Ovis aries: one gene and its partners. The protein of the gene in region 2 purifies or fractionates together with the protein of the main gene of each other region. This does not show direct contact. Links are inferred from orthologs where the notes say so. Each region holds a gene or a part of one and is shown on either strand. Other genes may lie near its edges. The genes, in order: EFTUD2, RIOK1, WDR77 and COPRS.

Region 1 (4,390 bases), on a different chromosome or scaffold from region 2:
AGAAAAAGTAATATATCTGTTTTACCTCATCAAGATCTTTGGTCTCTCTGCCCAGTTCATCATCATCTTCATCAGAATCAAGCTCTGGTCCGATGTAATTCCCAAACTCATCATACAAGTCAGTATCCATGGTGCTAAAATTCAACAAGAGAAAAGTTAGATGCTGGTGAGGAAACCGAGGCCTCCACCCTAGCCTATGGCTGACCATATCCCTTCACACACTCTCCTCTCCAGTTACATCAACCCACCAACTGCTCCTCTAAAGCCCTGTACTTTTCCCTGCTCTCTGTCCTAATCCTGTGTCTGTTTACATACACTGCGCCCACTTCCTCCCCTCCCCTCCACCAGGGCTTGAACCCATGCCCCCTGCAGTAGAAGCATGGAGTCCTACCACTGGACTGCCAGGGAAGTCCCAGCCCACTTGTTTGTTTGTTTTTTTAATACTAAAAGAATTTTAATTTTAAAATAATTAAATACAGGAAGTTGCAAAAACAGTGCACATCACTTTTTCCTAAGTTATTTGAGAATAAGTTGCTGACACAATGTCTCATCACCTCCTCAGACTTTAGTGCAGAAGTTGGTAAACTATAGCCTGTGGCCAAATCTGGCTGTTCTCATAACGGCCTGGAAGGTATGATTTTTAAAATATTTTTAAACAGTTGGAAAAAAAAGTCAAAGGACGAGTGTTTCATGATACATGACAATTAGTTCTATGAAATTCAAATTTCAGTGTCTATGAAAACAGCTTTACTAGAACACAGCCATGCCCCTTTCTTTATACCGTCTGTGACTGCTTTCAGCCTGTAACAGCTGAGTAGCTGCCTCTGAGACTATATGGCCACAGAGCCTAAAATACTTACTATCTGGCCCTTAATAGACAAAGTTTGCCAACCCCTGTTCTTAGCGCACATGATTCCTACAAACAAGGACATTCTTCTGCATAACCACAATACAACCATCAAAATCAGAAAATACTGACACATCACTACACCTAATCCACAGGCCCCCATACAAGTTTCAGAAATTGTTCCACTAATGTCCTGCACAGCAGAGGATTCCATGTTTGCACCTGGCTATCATGTCTTCAGTCTCTTTCAATCTGGAACAATCCTTGGCCTTTCCTTGATTTCTGTGACTTGACGCTTTTGAAGATTACAGGCTAGTGAGTTTGTAGAATGTTCCTGAATTTAAGTTTGTCTGATGTTTCCTCATGATTAGAGTCAAGTTATGCTTTTTTTTTTTGGTAAGACTATCACAGTAGTGAGGCTGTGCTCTTTTCGGTGCAACTCCTAACAAGTGGCATATGATTTTAATTTCTCCCATCAGTGGTGATGTTAACGTAACCACTTGATTGTGGTGGTGTCTACCAGGCTTTTCCACTGTATAAAGTTACTTGTTTTCTCTCCGCAGTTCATAAATATTTCGTGGGCTGTCTCCACTTCAAGTATTGAAATTCTATTCAAAATAACTGTTCAAAGACCATTTCCTTCAAGTCTTCCTTGAGCCTCAATTTCTCACTCACCTATGATGCCACAGCCTTTTGTGTCTTTATCAGCATTTACTTCTGTCATCAACGGTAGTTAACTGCATTAACTACCCTCAACAACAACTCTACAGCTTACAAGTAATAGACAACAGACCAGAGCATGGGTTACTGGTCAGGGCTCTGGAACTGGCAGACCTAGATTTGAATCCAAACTTTGTCACTTAATAACTATGTCACTTTCAGTAAGCCCTTCACCTCTCCAAGCCTGTTTCTTCAATTGGAAAATAAAGTGATTAATTTTCACCACATAAAGCATTATGAGAATTAAAAAAAATAGGCTGTGTAAAGAATTCATCATGATTCCAGGATCAATCAATGTTAACTGGCATTATTTTTTAGCCATTCTTTTGTCTGTTTTATTTGTATTTTTTAGTTAAAAAACTTTTTTGGCCATTCTTGAATACAGGAACCCTGTGCTCCTTGTGCCCATGTGCCAATGCCCAAGACACCACTTCACATGAGTAGGCACTAGATAAATGTTAACTGACCAGAAGGTTCAATTTTGAGATACTGGTATTTCTTCCACAACGGTAATCCCTCCACCTCCTTCAGTGCCCCTTGTGGAGTGCTGACTGTGGATAAAATAGAGAATTAAGAGCTCCACTACTAATAAGTAAATGTGATTTATCACAGAAACTTTCATATGCATATTCTTTTTATTTCCAAAGAGCTATCATCTCTGTGCACATTTCATTCTCCCAAGACACCCATGAAATGACTGCAGAAATTTCTATACAAGGCTGTTCATGAAATAATCCAAGTCATTTCTGCTTCAGGGCCACTGCACTTACTCTTCTCTTCCAAAATGCTCTTCCCTTGGGCATATATACCTTGTTCCTTCATCTCACTCAGGTCTCTACTAAAACAGCACCTTCTCTGAGAAACCTTCCCTTGTCACTCTAAAAAACTCCCCCCCCCCACACACACATTCTCCAACCCCTATTTTCAATGTTTTATTATTTTTATTAACATTTATCATTAGCTGACAAGTATCTTCGTGTATTTACCGTCACCTCTCCAACTACAGTTTAAGCAAGGACTGTTTTTGTTTTCACTTAAAAGGGTGCCTGCCACAAAACAGAACCACTTACTGAATGACGAAATGTATGGCCCCAACAAGGCACAGAGAAGACAGCTGACCTGCCCACAGTTGCACAAAACTAGTGAATTTCGGTACCAAACTTCACTGCAGCTTCCCGCTACAATGCAGGCTCTCAAAGGAACATAGAGTAACGACGGAGGGAGCTTGATAGAGAAGTGAAGGCGGCACAGTTGGAAGAGAGAGTAAGATAGGGGAATAGACACTGCAAGAACGACCCCTGCCCAGGGAAAGGGTTTTATAGACGGACGACACGCAGGGAACCCAGGAATCGGTTGGGGGGTGGGGGGGCTTTCATTCTCTATCCTACTCCACGCCTCAATTTACCCATCTGTAAAGTGAAAGTGGCATATAACACATAGCATCTCTTCCAAATCTGACTAATTTCCCATTCCACCAGAGCAAGCCTCCCCTGACGCTGACCAGCGCCACTCACCTCCCGCTGCTCAGCCAAAAACTCCCAGTCGGCCGCTGGAGATCGTGCTTCCGCCCCACGCCGCCTCACCGCCTGCGCCCGCCGTTCGGAAGGACCCCACAGGCGCCGCGGTTGCGTTTCTTCCCGGGAGGGCAGCCCTCTGCCTGTGGACCAGCTCGGAGGAATCCCGGCTGCGGACACCGGAACCTGAGAAGAGGAACTGTGGGTCCCCAAACCACGGCGTGGGCTGCTCCAGAGAAAGCGAGGCCTGAGGAGGCGTGAATCTGATCAGGCGCCTCGGGGCCACCCTGACTGGGGGCCTTCGGGGCGATCACGTGGGAGGCTGTTGTAGCAGTTGCTGGGCAACCACAGCTGCTGGGCGTGGTCTACGCTGAGCTGACTTCGTCGGGCAGTGTCTGGGCATCCCCAAAGAAAGAAAGGAAACCGAGGCCCCGGCTGCTGGGGTGAAGGTCAGGGGGCAGGAGGATTAGATGTTCTAGATTTTCAGTGACTGGGAAAGGCTTAGAACTAGGCAGGAGTCAGGACACCTGAGTTCAGTTCCTGGCCAGCCCACCCTACTTCTTGGTCTTTCGCTTACCCATGTTAGGGTGGAGGGTTGGTTTTAGGCCTCCTGCTTCCGTGTTGGGGCTTGCCTGGTGGCTCAGACGGTAAAGAATCTGCCTGCAGTGCTGGAGACCTGGGCCAGGAAGATGCCCTGGAGGAGGAAATGGCAACCCACTCCAGTATTTTTGCCTGGGAGATCCCAGGGACTGAGGAGCTTGGTGGGGATGACTTCGCCAAGTGATCTTTAGCAAATAGCTCGGAGCAGTAGTAGTAAGGTTCAGAAAGGTCTCACAGCAGTAAATGCGGATCCAAGATTAAAACTCGTATAGGTGATCTCTATAGAACGAATCAGTCAGCCTCAGACACCCGGAAGTTGCAGAAGTACAGAGACAGAACTAAAGAGGTTGCCCAAGTACCTAGAGATTTATGCTCCAGCCTTGGGCTGGACAGAGGGGTTTGAGAACGGGGATCATTAAGCCCCTTCCTCTGTCGCGTCCACTTGATTTCCTGCTCAGTCATTGCATCTGGTTTCGGGTGGAAAGTATCTTTTCTCCTTATAAGACATTTAAGTATGGGTGCTTCCCTGGTGGCTCAGATCATAAAGAATCTGCCTGCAGTGTGGGAGACCCGGGTTGGATCCCTGGATCGGGAATATAACACTGGAGAAGGGAATGGCAACCCACTCCAGTATTCTTGCCTGGAGAATTTCATGGACAGAGCCGCCTTCTGTTCAGTTCAGTGCAGTCGCTCAGTCGTGTCCAACTCT
Region 2 (3,896 bases):
AATACCGTCAAAGAGGAAGGTGATGCTGTATTTGAAGACCTTCAGAGTAACGCCAATGAGAAGATGGGTGAGAGTGAGCCGGAAGAGGAGGAGGACGGGGAGGATGACGATGACGATGACTGGGCCTGGGGCGATGGAGTCGGAAAGCTCACCCGGTGTTTCGCTTCAGGTGGAGGGAGTAACCCTCAGGTATTTTATACACAGTCCTGTATGTCTTTGCGTTGTTTGCTTATGTCCTCTTGAGTTGTTTTCTGTTATGGTAAAAGTCACATAATATAAAGTGTACCGTGTCTTCACCACAGCTAACTGCACAGTTCAGTGTTCAGCGGTGCTGCGCACTCTCACCAGGGTCCGGCTCCCGAATTGTTCACTTTGCTAAACTGAACCTGTGTCCCCATTAGGCGCTAAGTGTCTCTTGTCTGTTCATAAGTGAAAACAAAGCACCTCTACATACTTAATGTGCTTTTCTTTATTTACTAGTTAAGCTGCACTTTTCTCTGTTTTGTTACTATTTGCAGTGAACTGCATATTTGTGTCTTCTCCCAGGCAGTTTTTTTAAGGCTCTTAATCTTATGATGATTTAAATAATTTTTAAATTTACTGATTATGGAATGAATCCACATCATTATCAGCAATATGGAAATGATGAAGAATGAAAGTCTGTGTAGCCTAGGACTGCAGAGCAACATAGCCTGCAGATCTTTTAGTAAATTCCAGAGCCACAAAAAGTCCTTTTAAAAAAGAAGACGTCTCTGAATGTCTAGCATATTTCAAGTGCATTTTTAAAACCCTCTTGGGCAAATGTAATTGATCCTTCCCTTCCCTTAGGGTACTCCCCTAAGTATTGATGCTTTAATAATTAACTATGAACCAAGGGAAGATGGGATGAAATTTAGGCTTGTATGTATATCTAGAGCTTTCATCTCTGGAACTCATTTCTTCTAGGCCAATAGACAGACTCCCAGCTTCAATGCAGCCAAAATGTCTACTCCAGCAGACAAAGTTTTACGGAAATTTGAGAATAAAATTAATCTAGGTGAGTTTTTAAGATACAGTTCCTCTCACTAGGTAATGAGAAAACTCTTCAAAGACAACAAAAAGTGTTATAAAATTTTATTAGATCAATCAATGGATATATTCAGTGTTACAGGGTAAATAATAAAGCTTAAAGGAAATTAAAATTTAGTAATTAAAAACATGACTTCAAGAAAAGACTCTAGCTTACACTTTTTTAGTCCTGTGTTCTCTCCTGTTATGGAAATACAAAGGTACAGATGCTCATTCAGGTTATCATCGGTTCTGTATTAGATTTGTAGTAGGGTTACCTTGTAGTAGAATGGTGGAAACACTTGAATATAGTCAAGTGTTGAATATAATCAACTATTGAATGTACTCACATTTTGTTTGACTTTCGGTGTGGCATTAATCATTTAATGACCCGTCGAATCCAGGGAATCACAGTGTGAATTTGAAGCCTCTTGGGAAACACGGGGTCTTCTTTCTCTCGTAGACAAAGGCTGTTAGGAGCCTGGTATGACAGCTCTCACATCTGATCATCCCTAGCACAGACCTGTAATTGGAAGTGAAACTGACATTTTTAGAATTATAATATTTATGATAGTTGTACAAAATATTAAATGTCTGAAAGAGCAGATAGAATATTTTTTAGGGATTTCTGAATCTAGATTTCTCTGGCTGAGAAATGACACCTGTCATGATGAAAGTGATCATCTTTGTTAGTAAGTGCTTACCCTTAAAAACACAAAACACACTTTTCATTACTAAAATACATAACTCCGTGTAATAAAATATTTAGAAAGTAGAGAAGGGAAAGGGGAAAAGTATCCTGTTTAGAAACTTTGGCTTATATGTTGTTTATGTTGTGGATTTTTTTTTTTTAGACAAGCTAAATGTTACTGATTCTGTAATAAACAAAGTCACTGAAAAGTCTCGACAAAAGGAAGCAGATATGTAAGTAAGATATCAAGTATATACAGTAGAGTAAATAAAACGTGACTGATATGAACTAATTGTAGACAGATAGTAGCACGTCTGTCGTAATTCTTTTACAAAGGATGTTCCTTTTTATACCTAAACCAATTCTTAAGTTTAAGTGAGGATATCCTGTGCGTTTCTAACTTGAAAATATTAGATGAGTTTTCTTAAGAAATCTGTGCTAAAACTATAATCGTGTAAAATTCATGAAAGTGCTCTCAGGGTAACAGTGCTTGTAGATTTCAGTTTAAACTAAAATGTTAGAGTATAAAAAAATGTCCCCTTTTTAGAGCTTATTAAGGATTGGTCCCTTCCATGAAGTATTTTTTTAAAATGGAAAGTGAAAGTTAGTTGCTCAGTTGTGTCCAACTCTTTGCAATCCCACAGACTGGACATGCCCAGCTCCTCTGTCCATGGGATTCTCTGGGCAAGAATACTGAAGTGGGTTGCCATTTCCTCCTCCAGGGGATCTTCCCTACCCAGGGATTAAACCCGGGTCTCCTGCATTGCAGGCAGATTCTTTACCAACTGAGCCACTGGGGTAGCCTTAAAAATGTAAGAGCAGATTTAGAACTAAATAGTTTAACTGAAAACAGTTTCCATTTACATTTCTATTCTCAAAAACAAATGTTTAAGACTTGGCTCACCTCCTGTTGCTAATAGCTCTAAAGCATTAACAACATGTTACAGAAAACACTAAGATCATAAAAATAGCAGTGTTAGAACTGAACTGAAAACTAAAACGCAATTTTCTTCTGGTTTATTATTACACATAAGGGATACCAGCTTTTTGAGAAACAGCCCATCGTATGTCACTAAACTGCCTGTTTGGCTCTTTCATTGGTTTAGGTTAGTCTGTGAATTGAGTCACATAGTATATGAGCCAGAGTAATCAGAGTCTATGTTTTTGTGCAGTAGCTGTGTTGAAATGATAAAAGCTTGTTTCTTTGTAGAAAAGGACTCTGAAGAGAAAGCCTTATAAATTACTTTAATTCTGTACTGAGAAAATCATTAATGGTTTAAGAAATAGTACTTACAGACTTGTTCTCTTTTTCCAGCATAGTTTGTTTTACCCCACTACTCTTATTTAATCCTTCTGAAATATGGATGAAAGTTTTTTTTTCTTACTGCAGATACGCTCCCTTTGCCCTAGGGAACTGAACGGCTTGTTAAAGGCAGTGAAGTTTCACACAATGGTGAAACTACAACGAGGTTATGAAATGCGTTATTAAAGAACTACCTGCTTAGGAATATCATGGAATAATGTACATTTAGAACCTTTTGATTTTGGCTCCTCTGAATTTTGAATGTCACCTTTACTTTTTTGGTTTTGTCTTAGGTATCGCATCAAAGATAAGGCGGACAGAGCAACTGTAGAACAGGTATGGTGTAAATGAATGTGTTGCGCTCTTTAAAGTAGTGCTTCTGTCTTTGAATCATGATTTGCTTTGATCCTCCTTGCTTCATGCTAATGTCACCTAGAATTGCTTTTGTGTAAAATTGCTCCTCCTCATAGTTTTGAGTTTAGAGATCTACATTTTGCTTTATTTCTGAAAGCACTTTAAATAGATAAATTAGAATCATGCCCTGCAGAATGGCCCATGAAGCCACCCAGCAGTGCTTTCATCTTCTTGGGGGAAGCAGAACTGCCTGTAAGACCAGGAATCTTTTCTTTTGTCTCAAACAAGGTCTGCGGAAATTTTGTGAGCCTTCCCAGGAGATGAGTCAGGTATCTACCACAAAGTGTGGGTGTGGGTGTGTGGGTGTGTAGGTGTGTGTGTAGAGAAAAGGAGAGAGACAGTAATGCCTTCAGATATTCAATTAGAATCCCTTACTTGGTTTAGAAGTTAGACTTGTGTTATTCTTTATGCAGGAATGCGGGGGGAAACCCAACTTTCCCC
Region 3 (4,553 bases), on a different chromosome or scaffold from region 2:
GGAATCTTTCTTCTTTGAAATGTTGGAAGCAACCAATTAGTCTTACTTCATTTAACTACAGATAAACCAAAACCACCTTTTCAAGACACAGGACTGTTATCAAATTTTGCAAGATTTAGGATGAAGTCCGGAAGTAAAAAGAAATTACAATGAAAACGGACATGTTTTATGACATAATATTAATAACAGGTTCTAACATTAAGCACATAATAAGCACATGTTATGTACCAAGCACTGTTTTTAGAGTTCCCAGGAACGTCCCTTAATTCTCATAATCCATAACAAACTGTTCTCTCTATTTTGCGTATGGAGAAATTAAGGTCCCACAGCTTGTTAAGCAGAGGAGCCAAGTTTACTCTCAGCTTCGGAGTCCTCATTGTAAACTGCTCTATAGCTACCTCCTCTGCTGTGTGAAGGTAGGTACTTAACCATATAATTTCTTTAGTTTTGGTTATGGAGGTGCAAGATAAATATTTGCTGAAACACTGAATAATTTCTCTGATCTGACAGTAAAATTTGGAATCTGGGAGACAGATTAAAAACTACACGTTTCATTTTTCAATTTAACAAAACTTGCCCTTGGATATGCAATCTAATGGCACCCCACTCCAGTACTCTTGCCTGGAAAATCCCATGGACGGAGGAGCCTGGTACGCTGCAGTCCACGGGGTCGCATAGAGTCGGACACGACTGAAGCGACTTAGCAGCAGCAGCAGCAATCCCGATACAGGTTGCGGCAGCTCTGTCTAGCTGAAGGTCACAAGGGAGAGGGGCGGGGCTCAGGAGACACCAAAACCAGTTTCTAAACAGTTTAGTTAGCACACATTACTTTTTCTCTTAACCTCTACTATTAGATGATACAATAGTGTTCCAGGCAGTTACAGAATCACACGTGAATTAGACGTTAAGCGTTCCAATATAACCAAAATGAAGGTAATTATTGGCTTAAAGCTAAAAGCAGATTAACCCAGAAGTGAAATGAGGTGATAAAGCAAGGGCCAAAGGAAATATTACATCCCTTACACTTACCCTGGACCGAGGAAGGCTGCGTTCTTCAGAGACGGGGCTACAAAAATACGAAGCGTAGGTTAGCAAGGTCACGGTGAAATCTGGTTTGCCCCTTCCTCGGCCCCACAGAGCTCAATCACTAAGGCCATGTGTCCTCCATTCCTACCCCCAGGACCCCACACTCACCTTCTGAGCGGCGCTCCTCACTCTTCACTCAGACCCAAGTCTCACTGCGCTTTTCTTCACGCCCTTTCCTCCCACCCGCTCCAAGCAACCACAGACGCCTTGTTTTACAATCACCCTGCTATCCAGGACCAGGGTGTGTACTTCTCACCTGCTGCGGCGGCGGCAGAAAGTACCACCCGGGACAGCATTGTCAGGTAGCGTTCGCACAGCAATCTTCCCGCCCCAGTGACCCCGACAGAAGAAACTGTCAGGGACAGAAGCAAGATGGACGCTCACAAGTCTCGCGAGAAGAGAACTTCGTGCCCTCTCCGTCAACTTCCCGTCTTTTTACCCCTCGCGATAAGAAGCAGAGAGCCGGTTGCGGGAGGGTGCAGGCGGGAAAGCCGGCTGGGCTCTTAGAAGCAGCTCTCGCGAGATGTAGGGAGGCTGTAACTTGCCTAGAGGGGCGGAGGCCGGAGAGGAACCACGTGGGGACTCCTGGAGCTGAATCTCAGGCGGGCATCCAGTCTGGGTCTAGATTGAAGTTGGAACCGTGGAGATGCGGAAGGAAACACCGCCGACCCTAGTGCCCCCGGCAGCCCGGGAGTGGAACCTTCCCCCTAATGCTCCCGCTTGTATGGAGCGGCAATTGGAGGCTGCGCGGTACCGGTCTGGTGAGCCTGGGTCCTAGGCCGGGGAGTTTCCTTATCCCACCCCGGAGTGCCCCTTCCTGGGAATAAACCTTCCAGCCCGCACCTCGATTCCCCCGCTTGCCAGCCTGACCCCTGCTTCGCTTCGCTGAGCTCACCCCAGCCGTGCCCCGCGTTCCCGGGCTCGGGTCCAGATGCATCTAGCGGGCTGCTGGGCGGTTACCAGGGAAACGAGCCTCTCCACTCCTCATGCTGACATCTTGTATCTCCTTTAGATGGGGCGCTTCTGCTTGGGGCTTCCAGCCTGAGTGGCCGCTGCTGGGCTGGCTCTCTCTGGCTTTTCAAGGACCCTTGTGCCGCTCCGAACGAAGGTTTCTGCTCTGCTGGAGTCCAGACGGAGGCCGGAGTGGCTGACCTCACTTGGGTAGGGGACCGAGGTATCCTAGTGGCTTCTGATTCAGGTGGGTCACTTGCTCCTCAGCTGTACAGGTGGAATGGAGGTCGGGCTGGGCTCAATTTTTAATGTCCCATACTCGGTGAAGGGATTCCAGGTGAGATGCTTCAAATCCTAAAAGATGATGTAGTTAAAGTGCTGCACTCAATATGCCAGCAAATTTGGAAAACTCAGCAGTGGCCACAGGACTGGAAAAGGTCAATTTTCATTCCAATCCCAAAGAAGGGCAATGTCAAAGAATGTTCAGATTCACACGATTGCACTCAATTCACATGCTGGCGAGGTAATGCTCAAAATCCTCCAAGCTAGGCTTCAACAGTATGTGAACTGAGAACTTCCAGACGTTCAAGCTGAATTTAGAAAAGACAGAGGAACCAGAGATCAAATTGTCAACATCCACTGGATCATAGAAAAAGCTAGAGAATTTCAGAAAAACATCTACTACTTCATTGACTTATGCTAATGCCTTTGACTATGTGGATCACAGTAAACTGTGGAAAATTCTTAAAGAGATGGGAATACCAGACCATTTTACCTGATAAACCTGTATACAGATCAAGAAGTGACGGTTAGAACTGGGTGTGGAAAATTAGAACTGGACAGGTTCCAAATTGGGAAAGGAGTATGTCAAGGCTGTTTATTGTTACTCTGCTTATTTAACTTATATGCAGAGTACATCATGGGAAATAACAGGCTGGATGAAGCACAAGCTGGAATCAGGAGAGAGATCAATAACCTCAGATATGCAGATGACACCCTTATGGCAGAAAGTGAAGAGTAACTAAAGAGCCTCTTGATGAAGGTGAAAGAGGAGAGTAAAAAAGCTAGCTTAAAACTCAACATTCAGCAAACGAAGATCATAGCATCTGGTCCCGTCACTTCATGGCAAATAGATGGGGAAACAATGAAAACAGTGGCAGACTTTATTTTCTTGGGCTCCAAAATCACTGTGGATGGTGCCTGCAGCCATGAAATTAAAAGACGCTTGCTCCTTGAATGAAAAGCTACAATAAACCTAGACAGCGTATTAAAAGCAGAGATATCACTTTGCCCACAAAGGTCCAATATAGACAAAACAACTTTTTTTTCTAGTCATGTATGGATGTGAGGGTTGGACCATAAAGCAGGCTGAGTGCCAAAGAGTTAATGCTTTGGAACTGCAGTGCTGGAGAAGACTTTTGAGAGATCAAACCAGTCAATCCAAAAGGAAATCAACCCTGAATATTCTTTGGAAGGGCTAATGCTGAAGCTGAAGCTCCAGTACACTGGCCAACTGATGCAAAGAACCAACTCATTGGACAAGACCCAGATGCTGGGAAAAACTGAAGGCAGGAGGAAAAGGGGACGACAGAAGATTTGATGGTTGGATGGCATCACTGACTCATCAATGGACATGAGTTTGAGCAAACTCAAGGAGTTAGTGAAGGAGAGGGAAGCCTGGTGTGCTGTAGCCCATGGGGTCACAGGGAATTCGATGTGACTTAGAGACTGAACAATAGCAACAACATACTCCTTGCTTGGGGGAGCTTGAAGGTTTTGGTCCCAAAGGAGAATAACTGTGTGGGTAGGATATACCCGTCCCAAGATTCCAAATTGGTGGAAATTTCTAGCAAAATTCATAACAAAATTAAGACATGAATGAAACTGTTTTTCTCTGTATCCACCCAACATCAAGGATGATATTGATCTTAAAGATGATGCTGAAACCAGTCTATGCTCTTTCCATTTCTTCCCAGTTTCTTACATGTCTTCATTCTGCTTTCTTTGTTTTGAATGTCAGACTTAGTGGAAAAACCAGTGGAGGGTTTCATGTTTAAAAAAAAAAAAGAATAGAGGTGTTGGCAGGCATTGCATGGAAGGATAAAGCTGGGACAATTAATGTCCAAATAACTGGGACTATTTAATAATACTAAACTGTGTGCTGTTCATATCATTGTGGAGGTGTCATCCTTGTCTCTCAAGAACTTAGCATCCTAGAAGTGAAGTGCTGTCTTGGTGTAACCCCAGCTTGTTTCCTTCACCGTCTTCCCCACCCTCAACAGGTGCTGTTGAATTGTGGGAGCTGGATGAGAATGAGACGCTTATTGTCAGCAAGTTCTGCAAGTATGAGCACGATGACATCGTGTCTACAGTCAGTGTCCTGAGCTCTGGCACACATGCTGTCAGTGGTAGCAAAGACTTCTGGTGGGTCCCCACTCTCATTGCTCCTGTTTCTGGGCCTTCTTTGGGTGTCTTAGGTGTCACATTAGCCTCACTAAGTAATGTTTTGGGCTCAT
Region 4 (4,499 bases), on a different chromosome or scaffold from region 2:
ATAGAACTGTTAAGCTTCACTGGTTGCGGCCTATAAGGGTGTATGAAATGTTAAGAGTTTTGATCAATCTGGCTTGGTTTCTAATGGGTTAACGCTAAGACCTGGTTAGCTCAGGGGGGAGAGTCACTGGGCTCCTGAGTTGTCTCATCCATTTGTGGGAGAGTTGTAGCCTGATTCCAGCCCAAGTTCTAGAAAAACCTGTTTATAGAGAAGAGTAAAATGGGATTAGAGCTACAATTGCATAAAAAGTTTTTAAACTCTTATGCACTATTAGGTAGATGCAGGTCAATTGACTATTCTAACAGGTTTTGACTTCCAACAAACTGGAAAATTCTGAAAGAGATGGGAATACCAGACCACCTGACCTGCCTCTTGAGAAACCTATGTGCAGGTCAGGAAGCAACAGTTGAGAACTGGACATGGAACAACAGACTGGTTCCAAATAGGAAAAGGAGTACGTCAAGGCTGTATATTGTCACCCTGCTTATTTAACTTATATGCAGAGTACATCATGAGAAACACTGGGCTGGAAGAAGCACAAGCTGGAATCAAGATTGCGGGGAGAAATACCAATGACCTCAGATATGCAGATGACACCACCCTTATGGCAGAAAGTGAAGAGGAACTAAAAAGCCTCCTGATGAAAGTGAAAGAGAAGAGTGAAAAAGTTGGCTTAAAGCTCAACATTCAGAAAACGAAGATCATGGCATCTGGTCCCATCACTTCATGGGAAATAGATGGGGAAACAGTGTCAGACTTTATGTTTTGGGGCTCCAAAATCACTGCAGATAGTGATTGCACCCATGAAATTAAAAGACGCTTACTCCTTGGAAGGAAAGTTATGGCCAACCTAGATAGCATATTCAAAAGCAGAGACATTACTTTGCCAACAAAAGTCCATCTAGTCAAGGCTATGGTTTTCCAGTGGTCATGTATGGATGTGAGAGTTGGACTGTGAAGCAGGCTGAGAGCCGAAGAATTGATGCTTTTGAACTGTGGTGTTGGAGAAGGCTCTTGAGAGTCCCTTGGACTGCAAGGAGATCCAACCAGTCCATCCTAAAGGAGATCAGTCCTGGGTGTTCTTTGGAAGGACTGATGCTGAAGCTGAAACTCCAATACTTTGGCCACCTCATGGGAAGAGTTGACTCATTGGAAAAGACTCTGATGCTGGGAGGGATTGGGGGCAGGAGGAGAAGGGGACAACAGAGGATGAGATGGCTGGATGGCATCACCGACTCGATGGAGTTGAGTTTGAGTGAACTCTGGGAGTTGGTGATGGACAGGGAGGCCTGGCGTGCTGCTTTTCATGGGGTTGCAAAGAGTTGGACACGACTGAGCGACTGAACTGAACTGAACGGGTTTTGAAGGAAAGCATGTCAATTGTGATTGGGTAGGGGTAACACTCAGGCGTTCCAGACCCAGCTAGTCCTCTAGCCCTGGGACCTGCATCGCCAGTGGCTACAAAAATTAAGATTCAGGACGGTTGGGTGGACTAGGCTTTCGGAGGCGGGCACTCCCCGCCCCTTACTCCGCCCCGTCCGTTGCCCCGCCCCTGGCTCCCTCTTGACCCCCCGCGCCCCGCCCCCCGGCCGAGAGCACCCCAGGCTGATTGGCCCTCAACGGCGTATCCTCGGGCCGGCAGCCAGGCCGGCGCGTCACGTGGCCGAGCGGCGACCTGGGCGCCGAGCCGCGGGCAGACAGGCATGGACCCTCCGACCGCCGGGGCCCAGGCGCTGGGGGCCGCGGAGCAGCCGCGGGGTCTGCAGCTGCCGAGCGGGCGGGAGGCGCCCCCGATTCCGGGGGTGAGCGCGGCGCGGGGCCTGGGCGCGTCCACCACCTGCGGTCGGCGGCGGGAAGTTGCGGGGGCTCGCGGGGCGTGGGCCATGGAACCGGGGAAGCGCTCCCGGCCCTCCTCGGGCAGCCCGGCCGTTTGGGCGCGCGCCCGAGCTGGAAACAGCCGGGCCGCGGGACTGTGGGGCGGGGCAACCTCGAGGACGTGGGTGGGCGCGCCGGGCTGGGAGAGCTGGCTGTTGGCTCCAGGGCGCCTTTGCGTCCTTGCTAAATGGGAGGTGATGCTGCTGACCGAGAGCTGGGGCTGCTGCTCGGGGGCCTGGGCTGGGGCGAGGTGAGGGCTGCGAGGAGAGCTACTTTCCCTGAAGGATCCGTGTCCCATGGTGGGGATGCTCAGCTAAGCCGGAGCACCGGATGATGGCTCCTGCGCGCTCTCCTTTCACTGAAACCAAAAGGCCGCGTTTGACGCAGGGTTTCTAGAAACTTGTTTTCTTTTGCGCGCCAGACAGCTCCCGGTTTCTGAAAGACTGCTATTACAGTCATGTCCTGCCCTTGTTCAATAATCCCTTTTAGACGGTGAGCTCCTTGAGGGTAGGAACGCTCTATTTAGTGCTGAAAACCCGGTGCGTAGCGTAGTGCCTGGCACTTCACACACGCATATTTATTAACTGGATGGAAGAGGAATGCTTATCTAAGCATCAGAGACATCCTAACCAAAATAAGATAGGAAAAATGTAGTGGTAGGCTTATAAAGAATATTACTTTACCGGGCAGGTAGGATGAGACTGATTTTGGCAGGCCACAGCAGGAAGGTTCCTGCACTTCCTCTCCAAGATGAGAGGATAGTGGTCGTGGCAGAGGCGTGGAGATGAGGATGTGCAGGGCAGATGGTTGGGAGCTTGGAGAGAGAACTGTGCTGCACAAGTTGATGGAGCCTGAAGGGACAATGTGGATGCCATGGCGAATTTTGTACTCTAGCAGTGGAGGCCTGTTGAGGTTTCTGGGCAGAGTGGTGATTTCCAGTGTGAGGCTGTGGCCAGATGGATGAGTGTGGGACCCTGGTGGTCCAGTGGCTAAGACTCTGTGTTCCCAATGCAGGGGACCCTGGTGGGGGCTCTCATATGCTGTAACTAATACCTGGTGCAGCCAAATTAAAAAAAAGAAAACGTGGGTGAGTGGGAAGGCAGTTAAGGAGCTCTTGCAATAGAAGAGGTGAGAAGTCCCACTATTGGTCAGCAGGGGTGACCGGGAATTGTCACCGACTACTGGAGATGGAATTAGCTCATTAAATCCAGGTAGGACTAGGTTGTGAGCTAACGAGCAGGTGCCAAGTACAGTTTAAATATAGGGGCAAAGAAGGTGGGTTTCAGCTCAATAAATGTTATATTCCTGCTGTGTGCTAGGTGTCTTCATCAGTGTTATCTCATTATAAACCTCCTGCTGGGTTAGAACAGTTGTCCCCAATTTCCAGAGACAGAAACCCAGGCATGGTGGCTGAAGTGATGTGTCCCAGGTATACTCTGAGTGAATGGGATTGAAGTCACGCCTTCTCATGCAGGCTGTGAACATTTCTCGCCTCACTTAGAAAGACATCTTCACAGGTGATAGGATTTCAGGAACGAACTCTTTTTTTGTTTTTGGCCGTACTGCCCAGATATGGGATCTTAGTTCCCCGACCAGGGATTGAACCCATGCCCCCTGCATTGGAAGCTTGGAGTCTTAGCCACTGGATTGCCAGGGAAGTCACAGGATTTCAGAACTTTTGCGCGGTGGGAGCAGAGAAACCTAGCGATGGCTATGAAGGAAGACGATTTCCTGTCAACCGCTGATTTCCCTTGAACAGCTAAAGCTCTTTAGTCCTCCTGTGTCAGTCAGGAGATGAAATCTGATAAAAGAGCTATTAGCTAGATAAAAAGTTAAGGTAAAAATGAACATGGAGGTATCCACTGCAGGGAAACAGCAACCGGCCCCAGGGCTGAGGGAACAAAGGGGTGAGATTGGAATGACTAAAATGTGCAAGCTCAGAGGAGAATTTCAGGGAGCTGAAATTCCAGCCTCTGAGGACGGGGTGCTGTCCTGGCTAGTTTGGAGTCTCTGAGCTTGGAGGAGGAGACCAGACCTCTCAAGACAGGGCCTGGTGAGGGACTTCCTTGGTGGCCCAGTGGCTAAGACTCCACGCTTCAATGCAGGCAGCCTGGGTTTGATCCCTGGTCAGGGAACTAGATCCCACATGCCAAAATTAAAGATCTCAAGTGCTGCAGCTTAAGAGGTGGTGCAGCCAAATACATATTGAAAAAAAAAAAAAAAAGATAGGGCCCAGCGAGGAGACTGGCTCTGTATGTGCTGGCAGCCTGTACACTGGATTCAGTAGGCACTCTGTGAAGGCAGGTGATCCTGCCGGCAGGGGTGATGCCCACAGGAATGGGAAGCAGCAAGTCCCAATGTAACAGGGCACAGTAGAAATGTGGGTTGCAGGGTCCCACCCCAGCCTCGCAAAGGAGGGTCTGAAAGGGTGGATATGGGGCTGAAATACTGGCCATTCCCGAGATATCCAAGTCCTGGGTCCTTGTTTCTTCTTCCTGCAGGCTGACCACTCCAATCAGGAGAGAGCGCCTGAGAACGCCACAGATCGGCTAGGCAAGTAGGCGACAGAGGCGGGGGTGGCTCTTGGGAGAGACCAAGGAAGTCTGTACTGTGAAAGCTTATCG

The links.
Region 1: the proteins of RIOK1 (region 2) and EFTUD2 purify together in Homo sapiens (affinity purification with mass spectrometry; 3 studies listed by BioGRID). This does not show direct contact. The link is inferred for Ovis aries from reciprocal best matches to the Homo sapiens genes RIOK1 and EFTUD2.
Region 3: the proteins of RIOK1 (region 2) and WDR77 purify together in Homo sapiens (affinity purification with mass spectrometry; 5 studies listed by BioGRID and IntAct, with this or other methods). This does not show direct contact. The link is inferred for Ovis aries from reciprocal best matches to the Homo sapiens genes RIOK1 and WDR77.
Region 4: the proteins of RIOK1 (region 2) and COPRS purify together in Homo sapiens (affinity purification with mass spectrometry; 3 studies listed by BioGRID and IntAct, with this or other methods). This does not show direct contact. The link is inferred for Ovis aries from reciprocal best matches to the Homo sapiens genes RIOK1 and COPRS.

What each region holds. Positions count from the first base shown.
Region 1 is NC_056064.1:44,341,334-44,345,723, forward strand, and holds the start of EFTUD2 (116 kDa U5 small nuclear ribonucleoprotein component), read right to left. Parts: upstream 3,134-4,390; 5' UTR 3,082-3,133; exon of another isoform or gene 2,035-3,081; intron 135-2,034; 5' UTR 131-134; coding exon 26-130; intron 1-25. UniProt on the Homo sapiens protein: Required for pre-mRNA splicing as component of the spliceosome, including pre-catalytic, catalytic and post-catalytic spliceosomal complexes. Component of the U5 snRNP and the U4/U6-U5 tri-snRNP complex, a building block of the spliceosome.
Region 2 is NC_056073.1:47,115,917-47,119,812, reverse strand, and holds part of RIOK1 (serine/threonine-protein kinase RIO1), read left to right. Parts: coding exon 1-189; intron 190-945; coding exon 946-1,036; intron 1,037-1,901; coding exon 1,902-1,971; intron 1,972-3,334; coding exon 3,335-3,377; intron 3,378-3,896. UniProt on the Homo sapiens protein: Involved in the final steps of cytoplasmic maturation of the 40S ribosomal subunit. Involved in processing of 18S-E pre-rRNA to the mature 18S rRNA. Required for the recycling of NOB1 and PNO1 from the late 40S precursor.
Region 3 is NC_056054.1:88,869,481-88,874,033, reverse strand, and holds the start of WDR77 (methylosome protein WDR77), read left to right. Parts: upstream 1-1,651; 5' UTR 1,652-1,732; coding exon 1,733-1,847; intron 1,848-2,098; coding exon 2,099-2,284; intron 2,285-4,319; coding exon 4,320-4,461; intron 4,462-4,553. Other genes in the region: ATP5PB (ATP synthase F(0) complex subunit B1, mitochondrial), read right to left, coding at 1,030-1,066, 1,343-1,382. UniProt on the Homo sapiens protein: Non-catalytic component of the methylosome complex, composed of PRMT5, WDR77 and CLNS1A, which modifies specific arginines to dimethylarginines in several spliceosomal Sm proteins and histones.
Region 4 is NC_056064.1:18,000,519-18,005,017, forward strand, and holds the start of COPRS (coordinator of PRMT5 and differentiation stimulator), read left to right. Parts: upstream 1-1,665; 5' UTR 1,666-1,703; coding exon 1,704-1,802; intron 1,803-4,376; coding exon 4,377-4,428; intron 4,429-4,499. UniProt on the Homo sapiens protein: Histone-binding protein required for histone H4 methyltransferase activity of PRMT5.